2 linked regions of the Macaca fascicularis genome follow. The protein of the gene in region 1 interacts with the protein of each later gene in a pairwise test. Links are inferred from orthologs where the notes say so. Each region holds a gene or a part of one and is shown on either strand. Other genes may lie near its edges.

What was found.
Region 2: the proteins of LSM3 (region 1) and LSM10 interact in binary tests that used the Homo sapiens proteins (3 or more experiments, as listed by UniProt). The link is inferred for Macaca fascicularis from reciprocal best matches to the Homo sapiens genes LSM3 and LSM10.

What each region holds. Positions count from the first base shown.
Region 1 is NC_088376.1:152,442,871-152,446,782, reverse strand, and holds the start of LSM3 (U6 snRNA-associated Sm-like protein LSm3), read right to left. Parts: upstream 2,488-3,912; 5' UTR 2,447-2,487; coding exon 2,426-2,446; intron 1-2,425. Other genes in the region: XPC (DNA repair protein complementing XP-C cells), read left to right, coding at 2,736-2,835. UniProt on the Homo sapiens protein: Plays a role in pre-mRNA splicing as component of the U4/U6-U5 tri-snRNP complex that is involved in spliceosome assembly, and as component of the precatalytic spliceosome (spliceosome B complex).
Region 2 is NC_088375.1:198,523,263-198,527,174, forward strand, and holds the start of LSM10 (U7 snRNA-associated Sm-like protein LSm10), read left to right. Parts: upstream 1-1,459; 5' UTR 1,460-1,651; intron 1,652-3,912. UniProt on the Homo sapiens protein: Appears to function in the U7 snRNP complex that is involved in histone 3'-end processing. Increases U7 snRNA levels but not histone 3'-end pre-mRNA processing activity, when overexpressed. Required for cell cycle progression from G1 to S phases.

The sequences.
Region 1 (3,912 bases):
CTACCTAATACTGTTTTTATGAGGCTTAAGTGACATATATGAAGGCTTAGAACAGAACTTTTCACATAGTATGTGCTATATAAATGTAGATTAAAACACGCATACATAAGAAGGAGTTACACAGCAAAATAATCATGACTATACTTTGTTCCCTCAAAATCCAAACTGCCTGACCCGATTTCAGGGTATAGGGTCTTAGGAACTTTAGCTTTATCTCAAATATTATGTAATCATAGGAAAAACACTCACTTAATGCCTACCATATACTAGTCAGAATGCCAAGTAGAGGTGTAGGTTTATGGGAAGATTATGAATTCAGCACAGGTTGAGGTTAGGCTGCCAACTGGCCAGTAAGATGAATATTTAGTAGCCAGAATAGAACACTGGTTCAAAGCACTGGCTTAGCCGGGCATGGTGGCATGCGCCTGTAGTCCCAGCTACTCCGAGGCTGAGGTGGGAGGATTGCCTGAGCCTGGGAGGTGGAGGTTGCAGTGAGCCAAGATGGTGCCAACAAGCAAGCAAGCACTGACTTTGGAGTCAGGCAGTCTGGGTTCAACTCCTGGCTGTGACCTGACACTTATGAACTGAGATTAAAAATCATGCCATCTGTAATTCTCAGATTCTTCATTTGTAATTGAGAAAGCCACAACCTTCCTTCTGGATTCTTATGAGGATGAAACTAGTTAATGCATTTAAAACAGTGCCAGGAAAGCAGAAAATATTAATACTTAGAAACGGTTCCTTTTGGCTGGGCGTGGTGGCTCAGGCCTGAATTCCAGCACTTTGGGAGGCTGAGAAAGGCAGATCACCTGAGGTTAGGAGTTTGAGACCAGCCTGGCCAACATGGTGAACCCCGTCTCTACTAAAAATACAAAAATTAGCCAGGCGTGCTGGCACGTGCCTGTAGTCCCAGCTACTTGGGAGGCTGAGACAGGAGAATCGCTTGAACCAGGAGGCAGAGGTTGCAGTGAACTGAGATCACGCCACTGCACTCCAGCCTGGGCGATAGAGTGAGACTCCATCCAAAAAAAAAAAAGAAAAGAAAAGATTCCTACTAATATTATATTATTAAAGAACTGCTGGAAACACTGGTTTTAGAGGTCAGGGCTAGGATGACTTGGGGTCACCCACATGGAAGGGAGGGTTGCAGCCATTAAAGAGTTAGATGATTCAAGGAGAGCTTCTTTAGTAAGCACACAAGGCCAGTGGAGGAAGGTAACTGAATTCGTAACAGGCGCTAAAGATTCAAAAGGCCCGATGAGAGAAAAAAAAATAACCTAACTCAACTGGTCCCTATGTCCCTCAGTTCAACAGGTGTTTGTTAAAGGATCTGATAACCAACTGTTAGATTACAATGATACAGAAGTCACAATCTCCACCCTCAAGGAGCTCATTCTAATGTGGATAGGCATATGAATAATTATAATACTGTAAGAATATGCACATGACAGAGCTCTACTGCTACCTAAGCCTCTGTCTGGGATGCCCACTTTCTGTTCTTTTTCATCCTGTAGCTTTATACATTGGCTTTTAAAAGAGGCCTCCTCTGATCATCTAACTCATTCACTCAAATATTTGTTGAGTATTTCCAGCACTGTTCTAAACCCCAAGGACAAAAGAATGAACAAAACAAAATGCCTACTGTTATGGCACTTACATTCTAGTCAGGAGAGATACACATTAAACAAAGATGCATACATTTAATATGAAAAAATAACGTTCTATGAAGAAAAATGAGGCAGGGTAAGCAGAGTAGGGGGAGTGCTATTTGGGCAGAAGTCCTCTCTGAGGAGGTGAGATTTCAGTAGAAAGTTTAAGTTGTAGCATGATCTCCAAAGATATTTGAGGAAGAAAAAGACCAGGTGAAAAAGCTTCTAGGACCATCTGTTATTCTGCATACCAGTTCCTTGTTTCCTTCATAGCACATCACAGTTCCTATAAATCTTACATATTTATATTTATCTGTTCTCCTCGCGAATATAAGCTCCAAGTCATGGCAAGGATCACTTATATATCGATGTCAGTGTCCCTGGCTCTTAGAACAGTGTCTAACCATACAAAGCTGATGTTCACTCTCTCTGCTGAATGAGTAAATAATTGTTGTGCTCAGTAATAACAACTCCTAACTTTATTATCTGGCTTTCTATTGGAATCCTGACAGCTCCGTGAGGTAGGCACGCATAATAATTTACAGATTTAAAAAAACAAAGCGAAGAGTGTGATGAATAGTCATCAGGTGGCCTTCTAACGGAAAAGACCTCAGGGCCTGCAGCAAAATTCGGACAGGGGTGTTTACGGAAAGGATGGGGCGGATTAGGCCGTGTGACTTGGAAAGAAGAGGCGCGACTGGCCATTTTTCCTGCGTTTGGAAAAAGCAGTTTAGTACAAGAAGCGGCGCCGAGCCACCGCCTTAAAATTCACTCACCTGGTCTACGTCGTCCGCCATGTTTCAAACCCTGCGCCCTTTCCCGCCTCTCGCGAGAACACAAGAGCAACGCCGAGCTCCGGAAACGTGATGCTACAATACACCGGAAATAGAAACCTGCTGTGCTCTTGCCTGCTTCCCGCGGTTTTTTAGTGGCCACGGGTATGGGGCGGAGCTTCCTTTGGGGGCGTGACTAGGCCTCCAACGAAGGGGCGCGGCCAGACGCGCCCGCCTCGGGGCGGGGCCTGCGTTCTAACGCATCGCGGCCTGGTGCGTCACTCGCGAAGTGGATTTTTCCCCGACAAGCAATATGGCTCGGAAGCGCGCGGCCGGCGGGGAGCCGCGGGGACGCGAAACGCGCAGCCAGAAGTCCAAGGCCAAGAGCAAGACCCGGCGTGAGGAGGAGGAGGGTGAGAGCGTGGCCCAGCGGGCTTCGCGGGAGACTCTGCCGGTGGGCGGAGGAGGCCCAGAGGCAGGGGCGGCGGGAGTCCAGACGCGGAGGCCGGGTGGAGGTTGCTGCGCGCGTTCCGCGCAGTGGGGGCAGCACGGCAGGCCGCGGCCGGCCCTCCCCGCTGTCCCTGCGCCTTTGTCCTCTGCACCCAGAGCGGCTTCCCGTGAGCCTCGCCCGACCCAAGCTCCTGCGTAGCTTCTTTCCCGCTCCCCGTTGTCCAGAGGATACAGCGCAGATGTTCAGGGTTGAACGCGGAGAAGGCAGTTATTTGTGTCCCAGGAAAACGGACGGACGGACCAGGACGTAGAGTGATGCAGTGTGCTGACTCCCGAATGATAACTTCAGCTGAGTCTCGCCCAGAGTTCCACAGTGGGATCCCACCTGACTTCCCCTCGTGGATATTGGATAGGCTTCTTACATTTGTCGTGGACAGTGCAGAGCTCATGGTCTTCCCCTTCAAATCTATGGTTTCCTCCGTTTTTCCAGTCCCAATACTTGTTATAAAACAAAGTCCACCTTTTTCTTATGTGCACACATCCAGTCCCGTCAGCAAGTCCAGTCAGTTCAGCCTCAGACTGTATTTCAAATTTGTCCACTTCTCTTCATTTCCATGGCCACAACCCCTGTCCAAGTCACCATCACCTTTCAGTTGAGTGACTGCAGTTTCCTCTTGACTGGCCTCCCAGCTCTGCATCCAGCAACGCAAATAATCTTTAAAAAAAAAAAAAAAATCATGCCATGCTCCTGCTTTAAACTCTCCTTGGTTTTCCATTGCTCTTAGTTTAAAACCCAGTTGTCTTATCCTGGCCTGCAAGATGCTACGTGTTTTGGCTCTTGCTACCTCTCCTGTTTCTCCTACCACTTGTTTCCTTGCCAGATACCCTCCTCATTGGCCTCCTTTCTCTTCCTCAAATATGCCAAGTTATTTCTTGAGCCTTTTCCTTTGATATTCCTTCGGCCTAGAGTGACCCCCCACCATGGCTTTTGCCAGGGCTGATTTCTTCAAATCTCAAGTCAGACATTCCTTGAGCAAACT
Region 2 (3,912 bases), on another chromosome or scaffold:
GGAAGCACAGAGAAGATAGCTAACTTGCCCAGTCACAGCCAGGAGCAGATTTGAGCCTAGGCACTGTATCCGGAGGCTGCACTCCTAACCATGAAATCTAAACTCCTTACCTTGGCTCACAAAGTCCTATATGCTCTGGCTCCTGCTTCCTCTCTGGTCTCTTGTTATACCACTCTCCCCAGCTTCCCTGGCCTTTCCTGTGTTCCTAAATTGTCAAGGTCATTTCCCCCAGGTTCTTTGCATGAATTGTGAAAAGAAAAAAATTGACTTTTAATTGGTGATTTGGCTTTTATTTGCTAAATTTGTTAAATTTGGGTTTTATTTGCAACTCTAGAATTGGGCAACATCTCATTCTATAAAACGGAATGAGTGTTCAAATAAGCTGAGCAGAGGAGATTAGTTTTACAGACAGAAAAGGGCTGAGGAAAGCAGAAACAGAAAACAAAAAGCAGATTGGTTGTTTCAAAGTTACTTTCCTTGTAACTTTGAAGGCTAAAGCAGAGGGGACTTCCTTATCCTGCCAGCTAAAACTGGATGGTTTGGAGATTTAAGTATCTCTCACTCTTCTGATTTATCTGAATATCAGATAAGCAACTTAGTTTCCACTTGGTGATGTGGAACTTTAGCATGAGTGACTCCATTTTGGTTTTGTCTGTTGGGCTTGGTGCAGGAGCCCTGTCCAAACCAATGGCTGCCTTTTTTTTTTTTTTTTTTCTTTGAGACGGAGTCTTGCTCTGTTGCCCAGGCTAGAATGAAGTGGTACAATCTGAGCTCACTGCAGCCTCCACTTCCTGGGTTCAGGCAATTCTCCTGCCTCAGCCTCCCGAGTAGGTGGGACCAGAGGTGTACACTACCACAGTGGGCTAATTTTTTCTATTTTTTGTAGAGACAGGGTCTCCCTATGTTGCCCAGACCAGTCTCGAACTCCTGGGCTCCAATGATCCTCCCGCTTTCTCCTTCCAAAGCGCTGGGATTACAGGTGTGGGCCTCCGCGCCCAGCCCTGCCTCCTATAAATTTTATTTAACAAACTGTTCCCTCTAATTGCAATGCTCCGCCCATAGTTTTCACAAGCTTGGCGTCATGTCACTAATCCCAACTCAAATGTCACCTTCTCAGGACACCCCTGACAATCCAATAAAAGACCACCTAGTCACTACCACGTCACACTTTCAATCTTCTAAAGAACTTTTTCCCTATTTTTCTTGTTTGTTTTCCTAAGACTCTCTCCCCTGCAGCGCCATCAGCTCGGGGAGCCACTTGATCTTGGTCACTGCTCTATGCCGGAGCCTAGGAAGCAGCCTGGCCCAGGGTGCCCGTTCAAGAACGCGTGCGGAGTGAATGAACGACTAGTGAAGGAGACTTCAATGACGCAGGCCGGCATTTGCTGAGCGCGAGCCCCGCGCCGCGAAGCATTCTGGGAATCGTAGTTTCTCCGTGCCGCGATGACTCGCAGAGCACAGACGCACTCTGCGCCGGGAGGACAGAGCGGCCCGGTCGCCGGCGTGGTTTCTCCGTCCTGCTGCAGCCGGCGGGAGGCAGCCCGTCCAGGCGCCCGCTAGCTTCGGCGGCGACCCAGACGGGGAAAGCGGAAGGAATGTCGCGTGGTGGGTCCGGGTCGGCGGTGCAGGGAGCCGCGGGGCGGAATGTGGGGTATGCCAGGACCTCCGGAAGGAGGTGCCGGAGCCCAGGAAGCGTTTTCTTCCCCATTTACCGAGTATAGCTCATTTCCCCAGACCCGCTCCCGCTGCTCTGAGTAAGGGGTGCTCATCCCGTTTTACCGGTAGCTTAGCTAGCTTGGAGAAGCTAAGTGGTTTGCTAAGTGGTCTCCCTCCTAGAAGGTGGCAGAGCCTGTCCTAGAACCCGGGCCTGACTCGAGGTCTAGTGATTGCTCTTTGCAGTCGCAGCAGCAACCCCATACCTTTGCTTGATCGCAGATTCGTCAGGCTGCAGCCTGGTGGCTGGTCGTTAGGCCCTGCCCAAGGACTTAGCTCCCAGCCCCGCTCATCACTGGCCTAGTCTAGCTTGCCACGCTCAGTGCCACACTGCACAGCCCTGGACGGGATGCTGAGTGAGGTCGTAAAGAGAGAGCGTTGCACCCCCGTTAACTCAGGGTCTGAAAATAAGGGATAGGTAAGACCTAGTGCACTAATACAATATCGGGGTACGTTGAAATCAAAGGAGAGTACCTTCAGTGGAGTGTGATTCTGGTAGCTTTGTTTCGCCTGTAGTTTAATAAATGTGGAAACAGGTTCAGAGACATTAACTTTTCTAGGTTTACATAATTAGGGGTGGAGTGGGGATTCCAGCCTGGGTTTCTCTACCTTCAAAACCTATGTACCTTATATACTACCGGTTGGGTTTCCCCCCCCCCCAATTCATTATCTAGATTTATTTTCTTTCTTTTTTTTTCTGAGAGTCTCGCTCTGTCACCCAGGCTGGAGTGCAGTGGCACAATCTTGGCTCACTGTAACCTCTGCCTCCTGGGTTCAAGCGATTCTCCTGCTTCAGCCTCCCAAGTAACAGATTACAGGTGCTCCCATGCCCAGGTAATTTTTGTATTTTTAGTGGATACTGGGTTTCATCATGTTGGCCAGGTGGGTCTTGAACTCCTGACCTCAGGTGATCTACTCCCCTTGGCCTCCCAAAATCCTGGGATTACAGGCGTCAGCCCCTGCGCCCAGCCTCATTACCTAAATTTCTACTTACCTAACAGCTGCATGGTATAGACCAATAGTTCCCAGAGTGTGGGCCCCTGACCAGCAGCATCAGCATCACCTGGGAATATGTTCGAAATGACTCTCTCTGGCCTCACCTCAGACCTCCTGAGTCAAACTGGGAGTGGGGCCCAGCAAGCTGAGATAACAGGCCCCTCAGATGATTCTGATACACACTGTATGTATCAGATGATTCTGATAATGTATGAGAACTACTGGTGTCAAGCACTGAGTCTCAAACCTTCACGTGTATCTAATTCACATACGGGGTCATGTTGAAATGCAGAGTCTGTTTCCAGTCAGTGTGGAAGAATGGCAGTGAGCCACTCAGTGAAGGAGTGGATTATCTCAGAACAGGCCTGGGGAGAGACCTGAGATTATGCATTTCTAACCAGTACCCCTCAGCACTTTGGAGTTACCTGGGGAGCTTTTTTTCTTCTTCTTTCTTTTTTTTCTTTTTTTTTTTTTTTTTTTGAGATGGAGTCACTCCGTCGCCCAGGCTGGAGTGCAGTGACGTGATCTCGGCTCACTGCAAGCTCTGCCTCCCATGTCCACGCCATTCTCCTGCCTTAGTCTCCCCAGTAGCTGGGACTACAGGTGCCGCCACCATGCCCGGCTAATTTTTTTGTATTTTTAGTAGAGATAGGGTTTCACCGTGTTAGCCAGGATGGTCTCGATCTGACCTCATGATCCGCCCACCTCGGCCTCCCAAAGTGCTGGGATTACAGGCGTGAGCCACTGCGCCCGGCTGGAAACTTTTACAAAATAGGAAATCTGGGCCCACCCCTCTAACCAAATGAATCAGAATCTGGGGTGGGGAAGGTCGAGTTAAAAACTCGCCAGATGATTCTAATGTACACCTGGTGTGAGGTTTGGAGCCAGGCGGCTATGGATTTTTTTTTTTTTTTTTTTTTGAGACAGAGTCTCTCTCATGCAGGCTGGAGTGCGGTGGCATGATCTTGGCTCACTGCAGCCTCCACCTCCCGGATTCAAGCGATTCTCCTGCCTCAGCCTCCGGAGCAGCTGGGATTATAGGTGCACACTACCATGCCCGGCTAATTTTTGTATTTTTAGTAGAGACAGGGTTTTACCATGTTGGCCAGGCTGGTCTTGAATTCCTGGCCTCCGGCGATCCACCCGACTCAGCCTCACAAAATGCTGGGATTACAGGTGGGAGCCACCATGCCTGGCCTACGG